Elephas maximus indicus: one gene and its partners. Each later gene encodes a partner of the first gene's protein in a complex. Links are inferred from orthologs where the notes say so. Each region holds a gene or a part of one and is shown in the gene's direction. Other genes may lie near its edges. The genes, in order: DAB2IP, DCP1A, ARHGEF6 and PAK1.

Region 1 (7,491 bases):
CTGGTGAGGGCTCTGATGCTTCCCCTGTTGGGGGGGACTTCCGCCCCTCAATCTAGGCCTCCTCCTGTCCCTTGTCAAAGCTTGCTTTTAAAGAAAGTTCCAGGCTATTACACAGCCCCTCCCCCCACCCTCCAGTTTGTGTTTCATGAAGTCCTGGTCAACCTTATGACCTTTGCTTTTGCCATCCCTTCTGGGTTCAAATCCTGGCTCCTTCTTGAGGTAAGCCCTCTGGCCTTACTTACCCTTTCTCTTATATTTTCTGTAAAATAGGGTGGGTAACTGTCTGCCTCATAGGGTCATTGAGAAATTGAGTGCAATAAAGTGTGAAGAATGCTGAGGATAGCATTTGGCTCACAGTAAATGCTCAGTACATCTCAGCTACCATTATTATTACCAAACTTCACCCTCGAATGAACCTTTTGAGGTCAAACTTGTAGCCCTCCTCTGTTGGGGAGGTCTTGGTTTCTATGGTTCCCTCCAGCATGAGCATTGTTCTTCCCTGGATTGTCATTGTTAGCAGCCGTCGAGTTGGTTCTCCAACACGAGGCATAATGGAATGAAACGCTGCCTGGTCCTGCAGCATCTCCATGATGAGTTGCAGATTGGACCGTTGTGATCCATAGGGTTTTCATTGGTTGATTTTTGATAGTAGATGGCCAGGCCTTTCTTCCTAGTCTGAGTCTGGAAGCTTCCCTGAAACTTGTTCAGCATCATAGTAGCACAAAAGCCTCTACATGCGGTGGCTGCACATGAGGTGCCATGGTCAGGAATCAAACCTGGGTCTCCCACATTGAAGGTGAGAATTCTACCACTGAACCACCACTGCCCCATCCTCCCTGGGTAGGGTCTAGCATTTAAAGATAACCAACCCGTTGTTGTTTTCCTCCCATACAAAATGTTTTCTTCAGTGCAAACCAGGCCTTTTTGCTTTGTGCTCAGGTGAATAAATGGATAATCTGTCTTAACACTGGAAACACTGGTGGTGTAGTGGTTAAGTGCTATGGCTGCTACCCAAGAGGTCGGCAGTTCGAATCTGCCAGGCGCTCCTTGGAAACTCTATGGGGCAGTTCTACTGTGTCCTGTAGGGTCGCTATGAGTCGGAATCGACTTGATGGCAGTGGGTTTGGTTTGGTGTTTTTGGTCTTAACACTGGAGGAAAAACTGTCCTCTGTGGGCCATCTAAGGTTTTTCATGGGTAATTCTGATGATATGCTTCTTTTTCTCTTTCTGCACTGACTTTAAACCTAACACCTCCTAGTAAGATGGCTGCACTGGGCTGGCCTGGCAGCCCTCCTTCCCTGCATTTGGATGCCTCTCCTAACCTGGAGCCCTGGCCTGGCCCATGGTTTACCTGGACTGTCAGCCCAGCTCCCATGCTGCCCACTACTCTCAACCTTTAGGATACCTGGATGCTGATTGTTCTCTGCCTGGAGGGCAATTCTTTGGATCCATTCTTCCTGGGCTTCCCTGTGGCCTCTTAGTATCCCTATTATTCAAGGTATGGCAGGAGTACGGAGGAGGGTCTGTCATTGGGACTCGGGGTAGACTTAATCTTTAAGGAGGTGATATTTGAGCTGGGTCCTGAGGGATAAGGAGGAGTTTGCTAGGTGGGTGCTGAAGGAAGAGCTTCATGGCTAAGGCCAGAACTGGGAAGGAGAAGGAACGCATGCAGTGCCTCTGGAAGGTCTGAGGCAGATACATCAGGGTTGCTGGAGTGGGAAGGGGTGCGAAGGGAGGCAGCTCTTTTGTGATGGAGCTTCGTTCTTTTTGGTGCTCTGGGCATCCTCCTTTTCCGGAAAAGGATGAAAGTAGGAGTTAGTGGCAGTAGGGTTGGGTCAGGTCTGATTTAGCCAGTTCCCTGCCCGGCACTTAGGAAGCATGCAGATTTCCTGGCCCCATCCAGACCCACTGAATCAAGCATCAGGGGAGAAACCCAGAAATATGTATGCTTAAAGAGCCAGGGGTGATTGGGAGGCTCAGCGGTGTAGAAACCATGGAGGCCTTGACCTCACCCAAAGCAGCACATGAAGGTGGAAGCCAGGCCTCTTCTGGAGCCCTTCTGGAGGCAAGACAGAGGTGGGCGGGTGGGGGTGGGGCAGGACTACTGGCCAGACTGTTAACCCTGGAGGGTCTGAGGCTCACAGATCAGCAGGGCAGGGATGCTAATTCTGTCTAGGGCAGTCACAGAGGGCTTCTCCTTAAGCGGAGTGTGTCACAGGAAGCAATGAGATGGGGAGGGAGGGATATTTTCTGAGACACCTTCCTCAGTCCAGGCGGTCTCTGGAAGTGGGGGTTGCTACTCTGTTTGGAGGGAGAAAGCCACAGGGGCAGTGAGTGGGGGACTGTTGGAGGGGGTGGGTGAGTTGTGCCTCTGCAGCAGGATTGATCCCAGATGCTCTGCTGGGGCTTGCAGGGAGCAGCCTTTGTCTGCCTGTCTGCCCCCAGAGGTCCTGGGCCAGGGGGAGGGGCAGGGAGCCCAGGACTTCTCCTCACTCCTATCTTGCCTTTCTACTTTGTACCCCAACCCCAGCCCCAGTGCCTGACAGGAGGCCTGTGGAGGTGATTGGCTCTTGCTTGGGATGATTGACATTGCCTGTTCCCACTCCAAGGCCAGGCGGCTTCCTATTCATTATCTGACCTTCCTCCCTCCACAGGTAGATCGATTGGGGACACGTAATTTCTCCTCGCGGGAAAGGAAACTGAGGCACAGAGAGGGACCTGAGGAGCCCAAGCATAAGCTGGGAGACCGTGTTTATAGACTGAGGTCCAGAGTTCCTGGCTACTTCCCTCTTCCCTCCACATACCTAAGACTATGTGCTGGGAGCCCCAGGCCGAGATCACTTGCTCCTGCTACTGACCAGAGTGTGTTGGCAGTGAGCCTCCCATCTCCTCAACAGGAGGCTAAAACCTGGCTGATCAGGGGATTCCTGCTTTGGGAGGAAAACTGGGCCAGATGAACCCTGGAAGCAGGGTTGTTGTCCGCACATTGGGAGCCCTCCACTCCCCCAAACTGGTGGGTCCAGCTAGGGAGGTTATTTATTACTGGATGTGCCAAGGCATGAGTGGGTGGGTTCTGGTGGCCCTGCCAGAAGAGAATGCATGCTACCATGGGCCCACGACTGAGGGACTGAGGTGCTGAGGGACTGGGTGCGAGCTCTTCCCAGGGGCATTGCCCTTTGAAAGAGGCTCCTGGGCAATGTCTAATGTTGAAAATAACGTAGAGCAGTGCTTAATCCAAAGCGGGCTAATGGTGTCCTAGATGGCTATGTGGTCTTCCATCTTCTCCTGGGACTGGCCAGTAGTCTGGCTGTCTTTGCCCTTTTTGTTGGGATAGCTTTGGACTCCCCAGACTAGGTCTGGAGGAGCAATACCCCTGCTACCCCTCCCCCTTGGTCCTGGGAAGGCGCCTGGCTTCCAGCTGTGATCCAGGCTTCTGCTGACCTGGGGGCCCTCCCCCCTGGTTGAGGGAGGGAGGGAGGGGGCTCCCCCTGTGAGGTGCAAAACCCGGCCTGGATTCTTGCCCAGACTGCCTGCTATCTCCAGGGCCCCAACTTTTCAGCAGTTCAGAAGGTGGACCCCCAGACTGCCTCAGGCACCCACACATGACCCTCCCCGCACACACACCTAAGACGGCATATAGGGGATCCCATGCTAAGAGCACTTGCCTCTGCCACACCACTGTTTTTCTGTTGACTGGGGCAAGTCGGACTTCCCTGTCAGGGCCTCGGTTTCCCTTCTGTGCTTGAGGAAATAGAACTCAGGCAGATGATTGCCTGATGGTTTAAAGAATAAATTCCGAAGCAGGGGTAGGGGAGAGTAGGGAATAAGAGGAGAAAGAGAGAGATCCTTGAGGGCCTGGATGGTCAGGGAAGGCTAGAGGAAGTGTGCTGTAAAGGATGGACTTTGGCTAATCAAAGAAACGTACATGGGAGGCAGTTGGGGCTGGGAGTAAAGCAAAGAGAAGTGAGAAGGAGCAGGGGAACCGTGGAAGTGAGGCTGGAGGGCAGTTTGGCTGGGGCCTGAGTGTTGAAGCCCCAAAGACAAGGGAAGAATGCATGGGCTTGTTGGCACTGGGCTTTGGGCAGCCATGGAAGGTTCTTGAGCTGGGAAGTGAGTGACTTGGTGAAAGTTTTTCAGCCCGTTGCAATTGAGAGAGTTGGAACGCTCCCTTTTCCCAGCCTCAGTTTCCCCTCTCTACAGCAGGGTAAGAATTGTTCTCCCTGTCCCCCTCCCTCACTGCCCCAGGCCTGCCAGAGTAGGTGTAAATGTCCAGAGGGATGCAGACTTTGCAGTATCTGTGGTTTTTATTTATGGATGTGGGGGGGGGGGTCGGGGGGGTAGGGTGTCTAAATCAAAGGGGGCAAAATGTTCAGATTTGGCAAAGTCTGCTGGTTGCACGGGTGTTGGTTATGTACTCTCCACTTTTTGTGTGCTTGAAATATACACCACAATTTTGATTATATAAAAAATAATGTGTATCAAATGGGACAATCCTTAAAACGTAAAGAATAGGCATGTATTCTGCCTGAAAGCAGAGTGTTTCAACCCAGCTGGGGCTAGACCCGATGGGTTCGATTCTCAGCCTGGTGAACTTGGGGCAAAACTGGGTAGTCCCCTTCATTCGGACTCTAATTGACCTTGACTGTTTCCCTGGACCTCGGTTTCCGCGTAGCGTAGCTGCCTGGAGGCCTTGCATGTGTCCTGCCCTGTGTCCCGGATCGCGCACACGCGGGAGCGCACCATCTACACCCGCCGCTGGGATGGGGCGCCCCGTGCGCCCTGGGATCGGGCTTTGAGTCCTCAGGCGCTGGGAGACGGGGGAGGCCCTCCTGCTTCCCTACGTGGAGGCCTGGGGTTCCGGGGGTTCTCCGGCCCGCCTCGCCCCTTAGAGTCCAGGCCGGGATTTCCCCAGCACTGACTTTCCGGGCCGGTGCCAGTCCGGCCTCCTGGTCCCCAGCCCCCGCCGCGGGGCCGGCTGCTTTGGGGAGGAGGAGGAGTTTGAGCGACTTTGTGGGGCAGCCTTGGCCTCGGCGACGGCGGCCGCACCAACGAGCGCGGGAGAAGGCAGGGACGCCCGCCGGGCGGTCCGGAGCGGGCGATGGGGCCCGTGTGAGCGCGCCCAGCCCCGGCCCGGTGCCCGGCGGGCGGCAGCATGTCCGCGGGCGGCAGCGCCAGGAAGAGCACCGGGAGGCCCTCCTACTACTATCGGCTGCTGAGGCGGCCCCGGCTGCAGCGACAGAGGAGCCGCTCCCGCAGCCGGACCCGTCCTGCCAGGGGTAGGCGCGACCCCCACTCCTGACCCCCAGACCCTTTCCACCACCGCTTCATCACCTGATGCCCCGGGATGCCAGGGACCCAAGATCCTCCTGCTAGCCACTTACGGGGGAGCCCTTCATCCGCCTCTCCTGGTGCCCACTAGTCCGTCTGCGGGACCCCCATTACCTCCAGCTTCTCCCTCATGTGCACCCTCTTGTGTCTTTAGTGTTTTCCCTGTGCCATAGGCAAGGAGATGGGAGATTGGAAGCCAGGGTTCTCCTCCTTTGACCTCTCAGATCAGACCTCCTGCCCCACTGTGCCTCAGTTTACCCGGCAGGAGGGCATTAAGTGATCCAGGATGGACCCTGGCTTACCCTTGCCTCACCTCCACTGCCCTGGCCTCCCAGCTTCGCCAATCCTGCACTTCTTCCCTTTCCAAGGACTTAACTGACTCCCCTCTTGGGAGGGACAGGTGAGGGATCCTATCCCAGGGATCCTTGGCTTTGAAGGAGCCAGAAGCTGAGTGGGTGGGTGGGCCTTACCTCCTTTGAAGTTTCCCTTCTTCAAGCCCTGGAAGCAGGGGAGAGGGGGAGGTGCAGGCAGCATTTTCTTTTTCCAGTAACTGGATCCTCAGCTGGAAATGAGTGTGATCCAGGGGGCTGCCTTCAGGGCTGGGTGGGGGCCAGGACTTCCTTTCCTGGCTGGGTGGGAGGAAGGGAGAGAGGTCCGCTGGAGAGGCCAGAGTCCTGGGCAAAGGCTCAGGCCCTCCTGAAGGTGCCAACAGAGCCAGGGGTGGAGCTGAGGCAGCAGCACTCATAGGGACCTGGGTTGCTTTTTTACCACCTGCTTGTCAGAGGAAGCTGGGAAGGCTGGCCCTGTGCCTGCCCAGACGGGGTTTGAGCAAATGCTGTCATGGAGTCTGCAGATCAGGGTCTAACCTCTCCAAGTGCTGGTTGTATGACCTGGACCTGTAACATTGCCCTTCAGCATCACTAAATGTTAGTTTTGCTTCCCCGCAGAATGGGGAAGACTTTTCCCATAGTTGGGGCTGAGCAATGACGTACAGGGCTTCCTCAGGAAGTAGTGAATTCTCTGTATGGAGAGATTCAAGCTGAGTCTAAGGGTGTGCACAGGTGTGGACCAGAGTTCAAGCCTCGAGGTTCTCTCGAGGCCCATGGTTCCCCAGTCCTTGTCTTCCCTGAAGTGGCCTCTGGCTACCTCCCACCCCCTCAGTCTTGGCCCTGGAGACCAGAGATCTGCATTCAAGCACAAGCCAGTGTGACTTTGGACAAGTCACTTCCCCTTTCAGAGCCTCAGTTTCCTCCACTGTAATATGAGTGTGGCAGTACTGGGACGATTTGGTGAAGAAACAGGTGCATACTGTGCCAAGCAGGATTTGTACAAATGTCCAATAATGCTCAGGCCACCCTGGGGCCTCTCCTACACCCACCCCAACCTGCCCCTCTCCTCACCTTGGAAATGCCTTGTGTAACCTTTCCCTTAACTTTTCACCTCAGTCCAGTTTCCTCCCTGGCTGCCAAGGCACGGAGAGGAACAAGAGCTCTCCTCTCAACCAGTTCTGCTGGCTGGGAAGGGGACAATCCATGTGTTGGCCTTCCCCTGAGCCCCAGCTCCCAGGCCCCACAGGTATAGGAGCCCTGCTTTGTGCCCCACGCCTTGAAGGAGCTCACAGCCTGCTGGGGGTAAGGAGGAGACTGTCAATGAGCAGAAGTTACAACTGAGAAATCAGGGAGAGCTTCACAGAGGAGGTGACATTTGGATGGGATCTTACAAAATAGATAGGATTTCCTTTGGCCCAGGGAGTGGTTGAGTCAGAATTGGGTTCAATTCCAGCTCTGCACATAACTATCTTTAGGCCGGTTACCTCACCAAGCCTCAGTGATCTCTGCTGGTAAATGGTAAATGGGATAAAGACGGCAGAGTTCTAAGAATGGGAGTAGGAATGCATGGAAAGCTGGAAGCCTGTGTTCGGGGCTTGGGCCACAGGCGTGTGACCTATTGTCATTTCTCTGGGCAGAAGGAACAGCTCCTGCAAAGACAGGAAGATGGAAAATGCCTTGGGCATTGTGGACAGAGCTCTTCCTGGGGGAGGGGTAGAGGGTGGGCTGGGGAGGGGGAAGAGCAGGGAACAGAGCTTGGGGCCTGACTGAGTGAGGGGAGTCCTGGGGGGTGGTGAGAGCTGCTTGGGAGGGGCACTTAGGCAGGGCATGAGTT
Region 2 (7,427 bases), on another chromosome or scaffold:
CATACCTTGCTCATGGATAGGAAGACTTAACATAGTAAAAATGTCTATTCTCCCAAAAGCCATCTATACATACAATGCACTTCCGATCCAAATTCCAATGACATTTTTTAATGTGATGGAGAAACAAATCACCAACTTCATATGGAAGGGAAAGAAGCCCCGGATAAGTAAAGCATTACTGAAAAAGAAGAAGAAAGTGGGAGGCCTCACTCTACCTGATTTTAGAACCTATTATACAGCCACAGTAGTCAAAACAGCCTGGTACTGGTACAACAACAGACACATAGACCAGTGGAACAGAATTGAGAACCCAGATATAAATCCATCCACATATGAGCAGCTGATATTTGACAAAGGCCCAGTGTCAGTTAATTGGGGAAAAGATAGTCTTTTTAACAAATGGTGCTGGCATAACTGGATATCCATTTGCAAAAAAATGAAACAGGACCCATACCTCACACCATGCACAAAAACTAACTCCAAGTGGATCAAAGACCTAAACATAAAGACTAAAACGATAAAGATCATGGAAGAAAAAATAGGGACAACGTTAAGAGCCCTAATACAAGGCATAAACAGAATACAAAACATTACCAAAAATGATGAAGAGAAACCAGATAACTGGGAGCTCCTAAAAATCAAACACCTATGCTCATCTAAAGACTTCACCAAAAGAGTAGAAAGACCACCTACAGACTGGGAAAGAATTTTCAGCTATGACATCTCTGACCAGTGCCTGATCTCTAAAATCTATATGATTCTGTTAAACCTCAACCACAAAAAGACAAACAACCCAATCAAGAAGTGGGCAAAGGATATGAACACACACTTCACTAAAGAAGATATTCAGGCAGCTAACAGATACATGAGAAAATGCTCTCGATCATCAGCCATTAGAGAAATGCAAATTAAAACTACGATGAGATTCCATCTCACTCCAACAAGGCTGGCATTAATCCAAAAAACACAAAATAATAAATGTTGGAGAGGCTGCGGAGAAATTGGAACTCTTATACACTGCTGGTGGGAATGTAAAATGGTACAACCACTTTGGAAATCTATCTGGCGTTTTCTTAAAAAGTTAGAAATAGAACTACCATACAACCCAGAAATCCCACTCCTCGGAATATACCCTAGAGAAATAAGAGCCTTCACAGAAACAGATATATGCACACCTGTGTTTACTGCAGCTCTGTTTACAATAGCAAAAAGCTGGAAGCAACCAAGGTGTCCATCAACGGATGAATGGATAAATAAATTGTGGTATATTCACACAATGGAATACTACGCATCGATAAAGAACAGTGACCAATCTGTGAAACATTTCATAACATGGAGGAACCTGGAAGGCATTATGCTGAGCGAAATGAGTCAGAGGCAAAAGGACAAATATTGTATAAGACCACTATTATAAGATCTTGAGAAATAGTATAAACTGAGAAGAACACATACTTTTGTGGTTACGAGGGAGGGAGGGTAGGAGAGGGTTATTTACTGGTTAGTTAGTAGATAAGAACTACTTTAGGTGAAGGGAAGGACAATACTCAATACACGGAAGGTCAGCTCAACTGGACTGGACCAAAAGCAAAGAAGTTTCCGGGATAAACTGAATGCTTCAAAGGTCAGTGGAGCAAGGGCGGGGGTTTGGGGACCATGGTTTAAGAGGACTTCTAAGTCAATTGGCAAAATAATTCTATTATGAAAACATTCTGCATCCCACTTTGAAATGTGGCGTCTGGGGTCTTAAATGCTGACAAGCGGCCATCTAAGATGCATCAATTGGTCTCAACTCACCTGGATCAAAGGAGAATGAAGAACACCAAGGTCACACGACAACTAAGGGCCCAAGAGACAGAAAGGGCCACATGAACCAGAGACGTACATCATCCTGAGACCAGAAGAACTAGTTGATGCCCGGCCACAATCGATGACTGCCCTGACAGGGAGCACAACAGAGAATCCCTGAGGGAGCAGGAGATCAGTGGGATGCAGACCCCAAATTCTCATAAAAGACCAGACTTAATGGTCGAACTGAGACTAGAAGAATCCTGGCAGTCACGGTCCCCAGACCTTCTGTTGGCCCAGGACAGGAACCATCCCCGAAGACAACTCATCAGACATGAAAGGGACTGGTCAGTGGGTTGGAGAGAGATGCTGATGAAGAGTGAGGTACTTGTATCAGGTGGACACTTGAGACTGTGTTGGCATCTCCTGTCTGGAGGGGAGATAGGAGGGTAGAGAGGGTTAGAAACTGACAAAATTGTCACGAAAGGAGAGACTGGAAGGAGGGAGCGAGCTGACTCATTAGGGGGAGAGTAAGTGGGAGTACGGAGTAAGGTGTATATAAGCTTATATGTGACAGACTGACTTGATTTGTAAATGTTTACTTAAAGCTCAGTAAAAATTATTAAAAAAAAAAAAAGAGCTGGGTTTTAAAATGACATTCATTCATTTTAGGGTCTACTCTATGCCAGGGGCTGTGCTAGGTATTAGTCTCAGAGTTTATTTTCTAAAAGACACACAAAAGGTCTTAAAGTTTGATTCACATATATAAAGCAAAATTGTTGGTTGTTAGCTACTGTCGAATCAAGTCAGACTCATGGAGACCTTACGTGCGCAGAGTAGGACTGTTCCATAGCGTTTTCAAAGCTGTGACCTTGTCACCGCAGATCACCAGGCCTTGCTTCAGAGGCACTTCTGGGTGGGTTTGAACCACCGACCTTTCAGTTAGTAGTCCATCGCGTAACCATTTGCCCCACCCAGGGACTCCAAAGCAAAATTAGAACTCAAGTAAATGTGAGATTTTAACACTGAATCCCTCTGACAGTGTGGAATTTTGAGCCAGTGACTTCTCCCCTCCAGGCGTCAATTAAATTGTCTGTCAAATCCGGATGACATCTTCCCTGCCCAACTCCTGCACTATGAAATGAAAGGGAACACTTACCTTTCTTTTCTGATGAACTCTTGTTAATACCTGGAGCTCCAATTCAAACATCACCTCCTCCATGAAGCTCGCCTAGTCTTTCTGAGTCAGATGGCATTAGTAGCTACATCCTCTGGGTTTCAAAACAAATATCTCTGGTGTTGTCCTGTTTCCTCCCATCGTCCTACTTCGTTCAGTTTCTCCCAGAGCCAGAAGTCCTTTGTTAACAGACTGTGAAGCTCCCAAAGGGCCAGAGTTCAATATTAAAAAACCAAACCCATTGCCTTCAAGTGGATTACGATTAGCAACCCTATAAAACAGAGTAGAACTACCCCACAGGGTTTTCAAGGCTGTAAATCTTTACAGAAGCAGACTATCACTTCCTCCCACTCCCAATGAGCAGCTGATGGGTTCCAACTGTTGACCTTTTGGTTAAGAGCCAGGGCTTAACCACTGTTTCACCAGGGCTCCTTAGTTCCAAATTAGGAGTTCAATAAATACTTGCTTAAGAAGGGTGAATAAATGATGTGTTTCCTTGTCCACAGTTGTACATGCTTCTTACCTGATTCTGATAAGAATGTAAGGCATGAAGCTTCTTTCCATTAACAGACACATACAGTGCAATACACATTTAGAGTGTTATTTTGATGAAATTATGAAATTTTCCTTTCAAAATTTGTCAATTCAGGCATTTCCTCAGTTGAAAGTATCTTTTCAATAAAGGAAATGTTGCCTTTTAACAGGTCTGCAAGAGAGTTCTCTATAGTCTCCGCTCTTTGTTTCTCTTTAGCTAATAACAGTACCTTGCTCTTTAAATGCCTTAAAATGCTTAGCAGATGTTTGCTAAAAGAATAATCTTTTTAATCCTTTAAATGATACACAACAAACTCAAGCTTTCACGGGCTCGTCCCAGAACTGGGTAGAAATATGTACTTGAGACCAAGACGAGGAAAATAAGGGGCAGAAGTGGATAGGATAAGACACTCCTGTGAAGTTCTATGTGGACTACTTTGGCTTTTAATTTTTTTTTCTTCAGAAAACACTAAAATTGTTAGCGGTAATGATGTGTTGATACGTGAGGTAGTTTTCGCACCCCTATGCTCTCTTGCTTTTCTGTGCTTTCCAAACGGTCCGTGGAGCCCTGCATTCCACGGCTGTGTTTCCGTTCTGCGGCCCCGGCGTTTCTCGCGTGCGGGCCCGAGGCAGGCGTAGTATCGGTCCCCTGCCTCGCCCCGCAGGAGCTCAAAGAAAGCGCGCGGGAGGCCCGGCACCACGACGTTTTAACCCGTAGAGAGGAGGCACCCTCGGCCCCCACCCTCCATCTGCAAAGGTTTAGTGGAGGGAACCCGACGGCGCCGGAACCCGAAGTCCGGCCCTCCTGCTGCGGAGCAGGATGGTCGCCGCACCGCCCCGCTGCAAGACCTGATGAAGAGGCGGAAATCGAAGGCGCTGACGAAGCTGGGGGAACTTTGCTTCGATGCACTTTCCGGCCCGTGACTCCGCCCCCGCCGGAGGGGCTCCGCTCCGGGATTCAAGATGGAGTCGCTGAGTAGAGCTGGGCAGGAGATGAGCTTGGCGGCCCTGAAACAGCACGACCCTTACATCACCAGCATCGCGGACCTCACGGGCCAGGTCGCTCTGTACACTTTTTGCCCTAAGGCCAACCAGTGGGTGAGTCTAGCCTGGCCACGAAAGACGCACGCTCGGCCGCCGCCGCCACCTTTTAAAAGGGCCGTGCAGGCTGCCGAGACTGAGGGGCGATGCGGGAGGCCGAGGACTGGTGGAGAGTGGGGTGGGCACCGCAGGGGCATCGGAAGCCTTCGGGGATAAGCAGTATGAGCGAGAGAAGTAGGCCCTAAGTATCCTGGGAAAAAAACCACTGGCGGGGAGGTTTGGGGCAGAGTCGAGTTGCTTGGCGTCAGCTCCAGGGACGTGGGCGACCTGCCTTCTTTGCAGATGCTTTGGGGAATGTGAGACCCGTGGGGTCAGACAGATGCCTGAAGGCTTGTGTTTGAGGCTTTGAGGGTTATTACATAAGTTGCATATACATAGTGAATATAATAAACACCCCTCCCAACACACGTAAATGAGAGCCTCCTCCGCAAAGGTCATTTGTATTTAAAGCTTGAAATGCAATTAGTTAACAAATCTTGGAAGGGGTGATGGGGCGAGTCCGTCTCTAATGGACTTACACTGTTTCCGGGAAGATTTCAGGGCCCTTAGGAAAGGGCTTCCGTGTTATCAGGATTCCCGTGAGATTTTTGGAAAAGAGACCTTGTAGGTACGTTCCTGTTCCAGCTGTGATGCCGGTTATGTCACCTCTGAATGCTCCAGTCAGACTAAGTACATTTTGCCCTGTTTGTATGGGAGAGGGTCCTAAAGGTTATGTGGTCTGTTCAGTGACTCTTGTTAGACCCTGCTTGAAGTTCCGGTAATTGTTTAAATAACAGAATTTTCGTTTTATTGTAATTGATCCTTGCTAGTAAACTCAGTTACAGGCTTTACACCTAGAAAATAGGCCGTAAACGTTTGTTGGATTCAGTTCATCTGTGCTTGACATTCACATTTCAATAAGAAATTTTAAAAACCCTTAAACAAAACTCTCAAAGTTATTATTGTAATATGCCTCTTATAATGTACTACACATGTATATATTTATCATTAACTCTGTGCAAACCATTTGGCATTTACAAACAGTTAATTGAGAGAAGAGAGTTTTCAAAGTCATCTTGTTTTCCTCTTTCCTCCCCCTCCTGGAAGAAAAGGAGGTATGGGAAGAAGCCACAAAGAACAAAATTACAGATTTTGTAAAAACATGTAGCAGTATTAGGTATTGCCCTCTGAATCGTTTTTCTTTTCCTGGTCTACGTATAAACTTATGGTTAGGCATAAATATGGATTGTGGGCAAATGGTGAAGACACAAGACTTTGAATGCTTTGAAATTTTAATTGTGAAGTTCTGTTTTAAATATGAAATACAAGTTACAATAACCTCAATTGAAAAATAAGCTGCCATCGTTTGTTCATTTGAACCATGGCTCATAGAGCATAACCAAAATCTTTTCTGTTATTTTACAGTGAATTGTAACTTTGCACAATGAAATAAGATAGGCAAGTTTTCTTTTACTATGAGACAGTTGTTAATATATTTCTTATACTAAAAACAAGAACAAGCCTCTGAATCCTTAGGAAGGAAAAGTTTCATGATGATATTTAAGCTTACAGCAGTACTACTCCTGGAAAAAAACCAAGATGGTACCTTTTTTTAAATAAAATTATTGCAACAAATTCAACTTAATATGATTAACACTTGAAGTTTCTCTAAAAGTTTACTGATTACATTAAAACATTAAGGTCCAATGTAAGCTATGAACTGCAGACTAATAATGTGGTTATTTGGGTTGGTTTTGTTGTTTGTTTGTTTGTTTGTTTGTGAACATTGTAACTATTTAAAACCGAAATACACTTTTGTCCCAACAAATGAAGATGGTAATGAACTGTACTTTGTTAATCAAGACATTTTAAAAATTATTTGTAAAACCTGTAGTAATTAAGCCAGAGTATAGTTACAGTTGGAAACCCTGGTGGCATAGTGGCTAAGTGCTATGGCTGCTAACCAAAGGGTCAACGGTTTGAATCCGCCAGGGGCTCCTTAGAAACTCTACGAGGTAGTTCTACTCTGTCCTGTAGGGTCCCTATGAGTGGGGCAGTTCTACTCTGTCCTGTAGGGTCCCTGTGAGTCGGAATTGACTCGACGGCAACAGGTTTGGTTTTTGGTTTGTTTATAGGTACAGATTAGGAGTCCCTGGGTGGCACAGATGGTTCAGTGCTCGCCTACTAATGGAAAGGTTAATAGTTTACATCCACCCAGAGACACCTCAGAAGAAAGCCCTGGCAGTATACTTCCGAAAAGTCACTGCCATAGAAAACCATATCCTCTGTGGGTCTCCATGAGCCTGAATCAGCTTGATGGCAACTGGGCTTTGTTTTGTTTTGTTACAGTTTCAATATTTCCTTCAACCGAGTTCTAAAAATGGCCAACTAATTGTGTTTGACAGGAATTGTTAACTGATCACAAAATTTGCAACTCATTAAAACATCAAAATCCCCCAGTGATGAAACAAAGTACTATCCTATAAGCTAAAACTTACTTTTTTCCTATTAACTTTAATAAACTTTAAAGGTGAAGAGCTGCTGTGCGCAGGAACTTGGCTTTTAAATTAAGAAATGTTACTAAAATATTTTAGCTAAAACAAAAATGTAGGTAACAGATATGATGCTAGATTGAGCATTGAGTATACTTACATGCAATGAAAGGATACAGAAGAAACTGATAACAGCAGTTGATGGAGTGAGGGAGAGACTTACCTGTTTGTTCAACTGATGAGTCTTACAATGAGTAAATTGATCTTAAACATAAGGCATATCTTCTCCATTAGGACTGTTTAGGTTTGAATGATTGGAAAAACACTAATTGATTCATTGTCTATTGCAGGAGAAGACC
Region 3 (7,306 bases), on another chromosome or scaffold:
GTATGGAAGTAGGTATTGTCTGGCAGCTTGATTATGATGAAATCACTGAAGAATTTGTAAGAACAAAGAATAGAAAGAAATGTTTTCGGTTATAACATATTAAAAAAAAAATTTTTAATCTATCTAAAAATAAAATACAGTAATTTGTTGTAATATTTGTTTTCTGATCCTTAAGTTTTCTTTTTTTAATTGTGCTTTAGGTGAAAGTTTAGAGAGCAAATCAGTTTCTTATTAAAAAATCAATACACAAATTGTTTTGTGACGTTGGTTGCCAATCCCATGACGTATCTAACACTCTCACTTTCACCACCCAGGTTCCTTGTTTCTATTCGTCCAGTTTTCCTGTCCCTTCCTGCCCTCTCATCCTTGCTTTTGGGCTGGTGTGCCCATTTAGTCTTGTATACATGATTGAACTATGAAGCACGGTTCTCACATGTGTTATTGTTTGCCCCATAGGCCTGTCTAATCTTTGGCTGAAGGGCAAGCCTCAGGAGTGACTTCAGTACTGAGTTAAAAGGGTGTCTGGGGCCATACTCTTGGGGTTTCTCCAGTTTCTGTCAGACCAGTAAGTCTGGTTTTTTTTTGTGTGTGTGTGAATTCAAATTTTGTTCTACATTTTTCTCCAGCTCTGTCTGGGACCCTCTATTTTGATCCCTATTAGCGAAGTTGGTGGTGGTAGCCAGGCACCATCTAATTGTTCTTGGCTCAGTCTGGTGGAGTATGTGGTATTTGTGGCCCATTAGTCCTTTGGTCTAATCTTTCCCTTGTGTCTTTGATTTTCTTCATTCTCCTTGCTCCAGCCGGGATGTGACCACTAGATGTATCTTAGATGGCCTCTCGCAGGCTTTTAGGATCCCAGACGCTACTGAGCAAAGTAGAATGTAGGATGTTTTCTTTATAGACTATGTCATGCCAATTGAGCTAGATGTCCCCTGAGACTGTGGTCACCAGCCCTCAGCCCAGTAACTAAGTCCCTTAGGGAGTTTGGATATGTCTGTGAAGCTTCTGTGACTTTGGCTTGGTTACATTGCACAGACTTCCCCAGCATCGTGTACTGTCTTACCCTTCACAAAAGTTACCAGTTATCTACCTAGTTAAGGTCCCCCACCCCCACCTTGTAACCATTCAAAGGTTTCTTTCTGTGTGGAAACTTTTTCATGAGTTTTTATAATAGTGGTCTCATACAATATTTGACCTTTTATGATTGACTTATTTCACTCAGCATAATACCCTCCAGATTCAACCATGTTGTGAGATGTTTCACAGATTCATCATTGTTCTTTGTTGTTGCATCGTATTCCATCGTGTGTATGTACTACAGTTTGTTTATCCAATCATCTGTTGATTGGCACTTAGGTTGTTTCTATCTTTATGCTATTGTGGATAATGCTGTAGTGAACATGGGTGTGCATATGTCTAGTCGTGTGATGGCTCTTATTTCTCTAGGATATATTCCTAGGAGTGGGATTGCTGGGTCATGTGGTATTTCTATTTCTAGCTTTTTAAGGAAGCACCATATCATTTTCCAAAATGGTTGTACCGTTTTGCATTCCCACCAGCAGTGCATAAGAGTTCCAATCTCCCCATAGCCTCTCCGACATTTGTTATTTTCTGTTTTTTTGATTCATGCCAGTAATTGCAGGATGAGACGGTATCTCATTGTAGTTTTGATTTGCATTTCTCTAATGGCTAATGGTTGTGAGCATTTCCTCATGTATCTGCTAGCTGCCTGAATGTCTTCTTTGGTGGAGTGTCTGTTCATATCCTTTGCCCATTTTTCAATTGGGTTATTTGTCTTTTTGTTGTAGAGGTGTTGGATTTTCCTGTAAATTTTAGAGATTAGACCTTTGTTGAATTTGTCACAGCCAAATTTTTTTTTTTTCTGTCTCTAGGTTCTCTTTTTACACTTTTGGTGAAGTCTTTTGATGATCAAATGAAAAACCAAACCCACCGCCATCAAGTTGATTCCAACTCATAGCGACCCTATAGGACAGAGTAGAACTGCCCGATAGATTTTCGAAGGAGTGCCTGGCGGATTCGAACTACCGACCTCTGGGTTAGCAGCCGTAGCACTTAGCCACTACGTCACCAGCATTTCCTTTTGATGAGCATATGTGTTTAATTTTTTAGAAAGTCCAGTTTTCTTTTATGACTTCTTTTCATTTATAACATTTCTTATGAAACAAACATCGAAATTGAAGTATGAGAGGTTTAAAGCAAAATCGGTTAAAGTTATTGTTTTGTTGTGGGAGATCAACAGAATTTTACCTTGATTGTTGAGACCACTAAGTTCACTGACTCATTTTCTTTGTTGTAGAATATGTGGAATGTTCTTTTTGTGGAAAATGTGGTATATAGTAAAAATCTGAGTACCCTGCACCCACTAAAAATTTTATAATCCAGTCATTCCACTAAAATGGCACAAGCCACTTTTGCATTCAATTGCTAATATTATGGTCACATTTAAAAAGAAGTTACATCATGGTTAGCTAAGACACACACACACATACATATATGTATCGAACTCATGTATCCTGTTTGAATGTGTGAGTAAGCAGAGGAAGGGGCACCACAGGTTATCAGTGTTTAGGGTCCTTACATGCCTTGATCCATCCCTGCCCACTACGCACACTCCTAGGGCTGAGATCCAGACCTTTTTAGAGAAGTTGCTGTGGTGCGGAGCTGGTGGAACTTAGTAGACATCTGATCTCTGGAACTTGCTGAAAATGTGCGCTCTAGGGTGCTGGCTTCCTGTTAACAGGGGAGGTGTCTCACTAGAGGCACTCTACTACAAAACCACCCAAGGCTGGTGCCAGGGGAAGCTCCTGCTTACTGTGCATTGGGGAGGCCAATGTTGCAAAAGGCAGGCCCTAAGAAAGCTGGGAGTTCTGCAGAAGCCTGTGGAATGAGCATACAGGAAACAGGAAGTAAAGCCCCTTCTTCTTGCACTCTCTCTCCACCGCTGTCTACTGATAAAACTTCACATCAAAGTAAAGTAAAAGTAAAAAATATTGAAGGGCCCCAGGCTCGTTTTCACAGTGCAGGCAAAAAGGGGGAGTCGAATCAATTACTACTACAGGAGGTCGAGGAACTAATGGTTATGACATTGAATCGTTTTCTTGCGGATATTGAATTAACCCAGGTGTTGACAGAAGTTAAGGTGGAGTCGAAGGTCAAGTGGAGTGCTTTAATAATATGGATTCCCGTTTCCCATGGCAGACCGTCTGAATTAGAACGTCTGAGAATAGGGCTCAGAAATCTTCTTTTTAACAAGTGCTCTAATAGATTTAAAATAAAAATAATTAATTATGACTATTTCAAACATGTAAAAGAAAATAGTACAACAGACACCACTGTACCCAGCATACAACTTTAACAAATGTTAGCATTTGGCTTATTTCCTGCAGAACTCCTTTTTTTCCCCCTTGTAGTAAACTGGTATCTATTTTGGCTCAAGGAGTCTCTGGGTAGAGCAAATGGTTAAGCACTGGGCTACTAACTGAAAAGTTGTTGGTTCAAACCCACCCAGAGGTGCTTTGTAAGAAAGGCCTGGTGATCTACTTCTGAAAGATCACGGCTTTGAAAACTCTATGGAGTGGAGTTCTACCCTGAAACGCATTGGGTCACCACGAGTTAGAATGGACTCCAAAGTAAGTAGTGGTGGTAGATTTTGTCTCAGGTTCCATCTTCTCATTCCGTTCTTCTCCCTCCCTCATTAGAAGTGATCATTATGAACACTCTTTTTTAAAAATTTATTTTATTCTTTGTTGTTAATATACACAGCAGAACATACACCAATTTCTACATGTACAGTTCAGTGACATTGATTACATTCTTCAAGTTATGGAACCCCTCTTACCCTTGTTTTCTAAATTGTTCCTTCCCCATTAAGATAAACTCACTGCCCCCAAGTTTTTTAATCAACTCTTTTGAGTTGCTGTTGTCAATTTGATCCCACGTAATTGGTGCTTTAAAAGAGCACAATGCTCAAGGCAGACATTTTTTACTAGTTAAGTTAAAACTTGTTTGGTTTAAAGAAGACTTCAGAGGATATTTTTGGTTTGAGGTTTAAAGGTTATCTCAGGGAAATAGTTTGGGGGGTTCGCACACCTCAATGGCTCCAGAAAGTCTAGATTCCATGAGAATTTGAAATTCTGATGAACATTCTTTTTTGAATACCACTGCCTTAGGCAATGGAGAGCCTTCGAGGGTATTTGAGCAGGGGTAACACGCACTGCACTATTGAAGAAGTGTTTCTGGAACATCTAACTGCGCTCTTCCAGAGACTTCGTTAGGGAGAGAGAATGGAGGTGAAGAAGCCGGTGAGAAAGCAGATTCAGTGGCCCAGGGTGTATGTACTAAGGATCTGAAGTAAGGTGAGAGACCTTTGCTCCTTTTACTCACACTCTGTCTGAAAATTGTTCTTAGTAGACATTGTGACCTCCAGTCTTTCACCCTCTCCCCATTCTCCCAGTTCACCAGCTCCTTTCCATCTTCACTTGCTTCCTTACCTAGCCTGGACTCCATGGTTAGTCATTTCCCTTATATACTTGCTATTGCTGTTGCTGTTAGTTGCTGTTGTGTGGATTTTGACTCATGGCAACCCCATGTGTGCGGAGGAGAACTACTCCATAGGGCTTTCAAGGCTGTGACCTTCCAGAAGCAGATTGCCATGCCTGTCTTCCTAGATACTTCTGGGTGGATTCAAAGCGCCAACTTTTGGCTGGTAGTCCGGTGCTTAACTGTTTGTGCAACCCAGGGACTCCTCAGAATTACTTGCTTTCTTGAGATTTTACCATACCATTCTAATCTCCAATCTTTATACTATAGAGCTCTTTCTTCTGCCTTGAGGAGGTGGCCTTACCTTTCTAATTTATTGTAATCTATATAGTGTCCACAATGAGGGCTTCTCAGATTATTTGCTCAGTACACAGATTGAATAGGTATGGTGAGAGGACTCAACCCTGACACACACCTTTCCTGACTTTAAACCAATCAGTATCCCCTTGTTCTGTCCGAACAACTGCCTCTTGATCTATGTAAAGGTTCCTCTTGAGCACAGTTAAGTGCTCTGGAATTCCCATTCTTCTCAATGTTATCCATAATTTGTTATGATCCACACAGTCGAATGCCTTTGCATAGTCAATAAAACACTGGTAAACATCTTTCTTTATTCTTTGCTTTCGGCCAGGATCCATCTGACATCAGCAATGATATCCCTGGTTCCACGTCCTCTTCTAAATCCAGCTTGAATTTCTGGTGGTTCCCTGTCGATATACTGCTGCAGCCATTTTTGAATGATCTTCAGCAAAATTTTGCTTGCGTGTGATATTAATGATGTTGTTTGATAATTTCCACATTCGGTTGGATTACCTTTCTTTGGAATAGGCATAAATATGGATCTCTTCCAGTCTGTTGGCCAGGTAGCTGTCCTCCAAATTTCTTGGCATAGATGAGTGAGCATCTCCAGTGCTGCATCCGTTTGTTGAAACATCTCAATCAGCATGGAAAAATGTCTGGTTTAAGCCATTAAAAACAAACAATCATTATAGTCATGTAGCGTCTATACAGGGACACCATACAAGTACATTCATCAGTCAGCAGTTTTGAACATCTACTGTGTACCAGACACTGTGCTGGGAACACAGCAGTAAACAAGACAGATGAGATCCCTACTCGAGGGAGCTTGTGTTCTGGTGGGGGAGATAGATCAATAAGCAATAACATAAATAAAGTGGCGTAAGTGTCGTGACAGAACAAGAAGAGACAGCCTTGAAAGTATTTAGCAGAGTGATTTAAGCTAATTATTTGGTAGTAGGTGCCTGAACCTCTGTTGAGAAGGATTGTGAAGCTTAGCAGGAAAGAGCTAGATTGGCTGGCAGTGTCTGCCCATGCATGAAGTAAAGGGGTAGTGGTGCATTTACCCACATACCTATTGCCATTGAGTTGATTCTGACTCATACCTACCCTACAGGACAGAGTAGAACTGCCCCATAGAGTTTCGGAGGAGTGGCTGGTGGATTTGAACTGCTGACCTTTTTGGTTAGCAGCCTGAGCGATTAACCGCTTTTTTTATTAAAGGTTGATCTTATGATAAATTTCCCAATAGTGTGACTATTTCAGCTGGTTCTGAAAATATTTGAGGATAATGAAGATCTTTTCTTACAGACTAACTTTTTTTTTCCCCAGAGAATTTTGTTTTTAATCAAGTAACTTTCCTTTATTTCCTAATAATAGTTATGACAAATAACCTTAAAGACATACTGTAAGGGATGTTACTTGCCATTTTATAGCTTAAAGTGTGTTTAGATGCCATCCCCTGGTGGTTTTGAAGGGTGTTTTTTTTTTTTTAAGAATGTTAAAATGTTTTATATACCTGTTGCCATCAAGTTGATTCCAAGTCATGGAAACTTCACGTGTTACAGAGCAGAACTGTTCCATAGGGTTTTTTTTTTTTAATTTTTATTGTGCCTTAAGTGAAAGTTTACAAATCAAGTCAGTCTCTCGTGCAAAACGTTATATATACCTTGCTATATACTCCTAATTACTCGCCCCCTAATGAGACAGCACACTCCTTCCCTCCACTCTCTATTTTCGTGTCCATTCGGCCAGCTTCTGACCGCCTCTGCTCTCTCATCTCCCCTCCAGACTGGAGATGCCAACATAGTCTCAGAGAGCATTTTTAATGCGAAGTGTTTCTTGTTGGGAAAACATCAGCCTCCCTGACCGTAGTGTAGACAGTGTGAACAAGTGCTCTTTTGTTCTCAGATGTTCTGTTTTCAAGTGTATTTTACTCTCTCATGAGACTGTGTCTGAGCCTTTGCTAAGGGTACTACAGCTGGATTGCGTGGTGGAACCAGGTCCAGAAAAAGAATTGCTAAAGAATGCAAGTAAACAGGATGTCAGATGTTATCCTTAGCCCATTTCCCTAAACATAGCTTTTTGGCTGCAAAGTAAAATGCCATTCTTCTAAGCTTCTGCTTATACACAGAGATGGCTGACAGCAGGCACAATCTTCATTCACTTGGCACGTTGTCACTGTACAATTCAACGTGTTTTGCAAGAAATGATCATGACACACCATCTCTGTTAGATAGTATGATGACATCCAGCCTTTTCTTGGAGGAAGAATTTTCTTAGCCTTACCTTCTTCAAGCCCTGTTGTGCCAGCACAGCTCCCCACGAGGTTCAGACCTGTCTGACCTAAGAGCCAGTTGGCATTCTCCTCCTGACAGAAGCCAGATTTTCACTGGGACTAGACTATTTATTGACAGCATTTTCCCAGACTGGCCCATGGGTGTCTCCT
Region 4 (6,962 bases), on another chromosome or scaffold:
GGCTAGAGCTCTTATCAGGTATATCAGTCTAGGAATCCATTCACTTTTCTTGTATGAATTCAGCTCAGGTGTCCAGGTAGCTGGTCATCAAGTATGTGATACAGGCTCTGTCCTATAGTTTTAGAGGGGCAGGGGTGATTGGTGTAGGTACCCGTATCTGGTTGCAGCAGAGTGTCATGCTCTGAACAAGGCAGGGGGCTGAGAATCATCCCCCACGTGTCTCTGAGGAAAGTGTGTCCCTGTTCCCTACAGCATACAGGTGGGTGGCTTCTGTAGATGGACCATGGACACTCAATATTTTTGGTTGTAAGGACTGGGAGGTACCAGTTATCCTTGGACCCATGTTGCAGGTGACTGGGTAACCTGAGTGGAGCTACCAGTCCTTAGGACCCTGATGTGAGTAGGTGAGGACCCTGTTTAATAGGCAAAGCAATGTCAAACATCAAACACCCACCTTTCCGCCGCACAGCTGAAACAGTTGTAGTGTGCCAACAAGGGCCTATTGTTAAATAGGCCCACACAGGTCCATGTAGAGGGGAAAGGTGCTCAAAGTCCATGGACTGTTTATGCCTGTACAGGAGCTGCTTCTGTCCTGAGGTCCCCTGGTTAGTGGAGCTGGCAAATTATCTTCTCCCCCAGTTGCAAATTTACTCCTTCTCCAACGCTGGGAGGATGGCTCTAAGCATTCAACAGGGCCTACCTCAGGTCCAGGGAAAACAGCCTCTGAAGCCAGCTTGGGGGCGGGGTGGGGTGGGGCAATAAAATATACGCATGTACCGAGCTTTTGCAGAGAGTGCTCTTCTTCTCTGGTTCTGGAGGTGTGAGTAGGCTGTGTGGCTGGCTGCTTTTCCCTGAGGAAACTGTGGCTGAACGGTAGTACCAGCCTGCCGCAGCCGCCTCCAGGAATGGTGCCTGAGGGCTCCCTGTGTTTCAGGTCTGGTAACTCCTCTCTGCTTCTGAACCGTTGCTTCCTCCCCCTGCCCCTCAGTTCGTTTTCTAAGCTTGCCTTTGATGTTCAGGGCTCCTAGGTTGTCATAAATATACTTGTTTCACTTTTTTTTTTTTTTGGTTTTTGTTGTAAGAGGGCTCGCCAGAGGTGTCTGTCTATTCCTCCATCTTGGCTCCTCCTCAATAGACTTTCTCCGTAGTGTTTTTAATGGCAGATTTTTGGGAAGTAAATCACCAGGCCTTTCTTCCAAGGTGCCTCTGGGTGGAATTGAACCTATAACCTTTGGGTTAGCAGCCATGTGCATTAACTGTACCACCCAGGGATTCCAGGCCATTTCTAGGTCATCTTTAATCCTTTAATCTTGAAAACCTAGCACAGGCAAGGGCACATGGTAGATGTTTGATAAATGTTTGAAGAGATGGCATACATGATAGATTTGAAGGTAACAAAGGCTCCAAAGGAAACTAATATGCTAGATAGCAGAGAGAGAGCTTGAAAGTATGGGCTGAAGCCAACAATATAAAATTGAATGACAGTGAAGTCGTGCATTTTAAATTGCAAAGAAATGAGGACATATGGGAAGACTGGAGGAGACCTAGAATGATGCTGTTCTTATGAAAAAGAGACTGGTGGTTTTAGCTGCCTAAGCTCAATGTCAGCCAAAGGTATTTCAGTGGCTAAAAAGGTAATGCAGCTGTAGACTGAATTATCGGAAATAGTAAGTACAATTAAAAAAAAAAAAAAAAAGGCAATGATTATTCCCACAGACTTCACTTACACTATCATGTCTTCTCAGGGAACCAGGTAGTAAGAAGGTCATTGCAAATAGGACTGAGTTTAGTGGAGGGTTCCTCAGACTAGCGCTACTCAAAGTAGGGTCTGAACTTTTTCCAGTCTGCTGTGTGGTAAGCATAGAAATTGAAAGTGTTTAGAAAACTTTTATAGCAATTTAACAGTAATTTTATGTCTGTGTCAGTGGTAGTTGATATGGAGAAGACTAACACCAAGGCAGAGAGAACTAAAGTGTAGGCTTAGAGTCAAACCAGGGTTCAGATGACTCAGCCATTTACCAGCTGTGTAGTCTTGGAGAAGTCACTGCCTTCTCTCACCCATCACCAAGTTGTGCAGCTTCTCCTTGCAAACTGTATTTTTATTACATAATTGTTTCTTTTCATCTATTCTTCCAATATGTTAGTCCAAATCATTACCATCATCTTTTGCCTGGAACTCTGAAAGAATCTACTAACTTGTTTCTTGTTTCCATCTTCCCTTCACTCTCCATTCTTCATTCAGCAGTCAGTGAGCTTTTAAAAACAAATTAGATCTTCTCATTTTGCTTTACTAAATCTTCCAAAGACTTCCCATCGTATGTATAAAAAAATCCAAACTCCTATTTGTGACCTGGAAGAGATCCTGCATAATCTGACTCCTGCAGTCTCTCTGAAGGGGCGGTGAGGTAATACTACCTCCTAGCGACCATTTGGAGCCCTGGTGGGACAATGCTTAAGAGCTTGGCTGCTAACTGAAAGGTCAGCAGTTCAAGTCCACCAGCTAGTCGCTCCTTGAAAACCCTATGGGGGCTGTTCTACTCTGTCCTATAAGGTCACTATGAGTTGGAAACTACTTGACGGGACATGATAACAACAGGGAGCACTTGAGGAGTCCCTTGGTGGCAAAAGGAAACCCTGGTGGTGTACTGGTCAAGAGCTACGCTGCTAACCAAAAGTTTGGCAGTTTGAATCCACCAGGGACTCCTTGGAAACCCTTTGGGGTAGTTCTACTCTGTGCTTTAGGGTCACTATGTGTGGGAATCGACTCGATGGTAACAGGTTTGGTTTTTTGGTGGCACAAGTGTTTAAGCACTGGACTACTAACTGAAAGGTTGGTGGTTCGAACCCATCCAGAGGCATGTTGGAAGACAGGCCTGGCAATCAGCGTCCAGAAGGTCACAACCTTGAAAACCCTATGGAGTGCAGTTGTACTCTGCACATTTGGGGTTGCCATGAGTCTGAATCCACTAAAAAACAAACAAAAAAACAAACCAGTTGCTGTCAAGTTTTTTTTACTGATAGCGACCTTACGAATCAACTAAACCAAACCAAAAACCAAACCCAGTGCTGTCGAGTCAATTCCGACTCATAGAGACCCTATAGGACAGAGTAGAACTGCCCCATAGAGTTCCCAAGGAGCGCCTGGCGGATTCGAACTGCTGACCCTTTGGTTAGCAGCCGTAGCACTTAACCACTACGCCACCAGGGTTTCCACGAATCAACTAGATGACAATAAACAACAACGGGGAGCATTTGGAATGTGTTGTGCCTGCAATTTGGTGTTGTTCAGCTCAGGGCTCCTTACAGTGCCTGAGACACAATAGGTGCTTAAGAAATACCATATGAAACCACATTCTCCCCAGGCCTCAGTTTTGTTGTGTGTGAACTGGTGTAGTCCCCACTTCACAAGGCTGATGAGAGACAGACTAATATTTGTAAAGCCCCTGGTATACAATTAGCACTTAAACGGTAGCTGCTGCTGCTGAGCTTGCTTTGCTTTGAAACAGCCATAAGGGCCCACCCAGTGTTTTCCCTGGGGCATTAGAATTAGACCTGACACGTTTTGGGGGTGTGGGATGTGTGTGTGGGGGGTGCGGAACCGCTTTTACTGCAGCCCAATCTGATGGAATTGTAGGACATCTGACTTCAGAAGACCTGGAAGAGGGCTTCGTGCAGAGCCAGAGCCAGCTGCAGAAACTGAGGCGCAGAGAAGCTCTGGTTCTCTTCCTTGACTCTGGGGCGCGCCCAGGACTCTGACAGAACCTGGAAAGCCCGGTTCCGGCGGGAAATTACCTCCTGCTGGAGTCGGAATCGATTCGACGGCAGTGGTTTGATTTGGTTTGATTTGGGAGACCGGGTGGTGGAGAATAGCTGATTGGGAAGGTACTTCCTCCCGCCTCCTTCTCTGCCTTCTTTCTCCGCCCCTTCTGCTTCGCCTTTGCTGCCGCCCTGCGAGGGCGCGAGCGTGCTGCACCGCGGGAGCTGGGGCGGTCCAGCTGCCCAGAGCCTGGCCCAGCCGAGGAGCGGAGCCGGGGAGACTGGCTGTTGCGCGGTCGTGCTGGCCGGGAGAGCTGCGGGTCTGCGACGAAAGAGGTCGCCAGGGATGCCGGGGTCGGCGCCCCCCACCAGGTAATGCCGGCCCTGCCTGGGGCGTGCCCAGCTAGGCTTGCGCTGGGGGTCTCCGCCAGCTTCCGGGGAGACCGGAATTTTAAGCCTCCTTTCGTTCCCTTTCTTTTAAGAGGCCCTAAATGAGAGAAGGGGCAGAGGGTGGAACCCTCTGATGATCCCACCCAGGGTTAGGCCTACACTGGCATCAGAGCTCTCGCCGGGGTGTGAAGGGGAAGCTGCGCTTTTGGGGAACTGCTCTGCTGCGGGAGCCCGCGCTCGTCTGCTAGTACCCTTTGCGTGGTGGCCTGGGTGATGCTCACCTCTGCCTTCGCTTAGCTTCTCGCCTGCTGGGACCGTGGAGCTTTTCTCTGGGTCCTGAGCGGGGGAAGGGGGGATGTTCTACGTGACTGATAAGTGAACTGGGAAATGGGAGACCTGGCGGGGGGGGGGGGGGGCTGGTACTGGTTCAGACAGCCTTTTTGGGCCTCAGTTTCTTTATTTCTGCAATGAAAGACTTGATATCCTGCTTGTAACTCTGGCTTTCCCAGGCTGTCAAAGTGTCTTGGAAAGATGAGCAGGCGAAAGCCCTGGAATGAGTCTTGGGAACGTGCCCTTACACTGTAGGAGACAGAGGCGAAATTGGGAAGCAGATCTTGGCGTTATCTCTTCCAGCTAGCTTTTTGAATGCATCTTGCTGGTTTGCCCAGGACCCAGTGACTTCATGGGCAAGGCAGAGGCTGAGAATGCTGATATTTGGATATAGGGAGGTGGGGTTGTGAAGAAGCAGGTCAAGGTATGCTAATGGTTTTTTTTCTGAGCTGCCCATTTCAGTATTGTGTATAAAGCTGCTTTAAACTATGTTGTCTTGTGTGAAGCCCCTTCCTTTCCCTGCTAAGTTAATGACAAGCCTTGGGGCTGTATAATGACTTAATCACTGTAATTTCTTCCTTCTTAATTATCTGGGACCAAGAAACACATGTCAGGCCTTCTACTAACCTACCTAGATTATTTTGAACTTTCCTCCTCCCCCTGGTTTTTCCTTGGTCCTGCCTCTTTTAGCTCTCCCCACTTCTCTTTCAGCTTCCTCCTCCTGATCTTTTCCTGCCCTTCTTCCTACCCACCTATTCTCCCACCCCAGCTTCCTCCCTTTTTCCTGGTCCCTTCACGCTTTGCCTTTCTTATCTCTTCTTCATAGCCAGTTTTTCCTTCCCTCTCTTAAGTCCTTCATTCTTGGTTAGGCTTCTCTTTCCCTCTTACAATTTCTGGTTAAACTTTTTCATTATTAGTAGGTTACTGGTTTGTAGGGACCTTTTGCTGTGGTGTTTTGTGAGATCTCAGCATGCTCTGTTTCCTACCTAACTCCCTTGCTATGAGATTTCTCCTCCAAATTCTGTCTTCTCCCAGTGCCAGTAATCCTTCCTTTTGGATTTGTCCCCCAACCTCTTTCCCTGGGGGTCCAGCAAGTGGGCCAAAACCCAAACCTGCTGCTGTCGAGTCAATTCCGACTCATAGCGACCCTATAGGACGGAGTAGAACTGCCCCATAGAGTTTCCAAGGAGCGCCTGGTGGATTCGAACTGCTGACCTCTTGGTTAGCAGCCACAGGACTTAACTACTACACCACCAGAGTTTCCAGCAGGTGGGCTGTAGGGAGTAAATTAAATGGGAAGTCAGAGGCTTGAGGTCTAGAGTTGGAGGAGAGCAAGTGTGTCCAGTAGGGCTGGGCAGAGGCTCAAACTCCCTTTAGTGAGATGAGTGACTGGGGGAGGACCAAACACTCTTTGGCAGCTCTGAGACATTGCTGAAGAAATGAAGTTGACCCATGAGCCCAGGAAAGAAGAGGGGAAAACCCTGTGGGAACCTAGGAGGGATTAGGTTCTTCTGGGGGAGAAGAACAGTGGCCTTTTGAAGAAGAGGGTGACTGGGTAAGATAGGGATTATTTGGGCGTAGGGGTGGGTGGGGAGGGGGTGGCAAGGGAAGGACTATAGTCTGGGAAAGGGACCATATAGGTTAATTCTCTTCCCCTATGCAGACTTGCTTTTTGGACTGGTTTATTTCTACTCAGCAAAATTTTCTTGAGTAGTGTCCCCAAAGTGGGTGAGTGAGAGAGGCAGCAGAGATGAGAGTGACAATGTTGCTGTTTTCTGGTGCTCACCATCTAGGCCAGAATATGAAATGTATATCTATATAAAAAGCTTTGAATAAGGCATCCATTCATCATCAGATGTTCTCTGAACCATCTGTGTTAGTTATGGTATCAGGTGCTGGGGATACAAAAGTGGAAGTTGAACTCAGTGACTGCCCTCCATCCAGTGCAGGTCAAAGAGTGTGGGTACCTGTGACCTCATATGGTAAGTATCTAGAGGCAAGCACAAGGGGCTGTGGTGGTGCAGAGGAGGGAACTTTTGACTCAGCAAGTCAGATGCAGAGCTAGAACATAAACTCAAATCTTCTTTAAAGGTGATGCCTGTTCTCTGTATCATTTTATCTCGTAACCCCATGTGTACAGATAGTATACAAAGAGTTTTCTTTTTCCTTTGTTAATTTTATGGTGCTTTGTTTACAGTGCAGATTAGTTTCTCATTCAAAAATTTGCACACACAAATTTTTTTGACGTTGGTCGCAATCCCCGCAATGTGTTGGTGCTCTCTTCCTTTACCACTATACCCGGGTTCCCCGTGTCCGTTCATCCAGTTTAAGAGTTTTCTTACATTCCGCTTTTTGCCTACCTTTTGGGCTGGAGGAGCCCTGGTGGTGCAGTGGTTAAGAGCTATGGCTACTAACCAAAAGATCAGCAGTTGGAATCCACCAGCTGCTCCTTGGAAATTATATGGGGCAGCTCTAACTCTGTCCTA

What was found.
Region 2: DAB2IP (region 1) and DCP1A share a complex: the UniProt entries of both Homo sapiens proteins name them as parts of the cytoplasmic complex. The link is inferred for Elephas maximus indicus from reciprocal best matches to the Homo sapiens genes DAB2IP and DCP1A.
Region 3: DAB2IP (region 1) and ARHGEF6 share a complex: the UniProt entries of both Homo sapiens proteins name them as parts of the cytoplasmic complex. The link is inferred for Elephas maximus indicus from reciprocal best matches to the Homo sapiens genes DAB2IP and ARHGEF6.
Region 4: DAB2IP (region 1) and PAK1 share a complex: the UniProt entries of both Homo sapiens proteins name them as parts of the cytoplasmic complex. The link is inferred for Elephas maximus indicus from reciprocal best matches to the Homo sapiens genes DAB2IP and PAK1.

Annotation. Positions count from the first base shown.
Region 1 is NC_064827.1:71,757,755-71,765,245, forward strand, and holds the start of DAB2IP (disabled homolog 2-interacting protein), read left to right. Parts: upstream 1-4,474; 5' UTR 4,475-5,152; coding exon 5,153-5,276; intron 5,277-7,491. UniProt on the Homo sapiens protein: Functions as a scaffold protein implicated in the regulation of a large spectrum of both general and specialized signaling pathways.
Region 2 is NC_064838.1:57,513,913-57,521,339, reverse strand, and holds the start of DCP1A (mRNA-decapping enzyme 1A), read left to right. Parts: upstream 1-4,426; 5' UTR 4,427-4,459; coding exon 4,460-4,594; intron 4,595-7,418; coding exon 7,419-7,427. UniProt on the Homo sapiens protein: Necessary for the degradation of mRNAs, both in normal mRNA turnover and in nonsense-mediated mRNA decay. Removes the 7-methyl guanine cap structure from mRNA molecules, yielding a 5'-phosphorylated mRNA fragment and 7m-GDP.
Region 3 is NC_064846.1:19,039,242-19,046,547, forward strand, and holds the start of ARHGEF6 (rho guanine nucleotide exchange factor 6), read left to right. Parts: upstream 1-4,289; 5' UTR 4,290-4,376; intron 4,377-7,306. UniProt on the Homo sapiens protein: Acts as a RAC1 guanine nucleotide exchange factor (GEF).
Region 4 is NC_064825.1:44,661,011-44,667,972, forward strand, and holds the start of PAK1 (serine/threonine-protein kinase PAK 1), read left to right. Parts: upstream 1-3,950; 5' UTR 3,951-4,128; intron 4,129-6,962. UniProt on the Homo sapiens protein: Protein kinase involved in intracellular signaling pathways downstream of integrins and receptor-type kinases that plays an important role in cytoskeleton dynamics, in cell adhesion, migration, proliferation, apoptosis, mitosis, and in vesicle-mediated transport processes.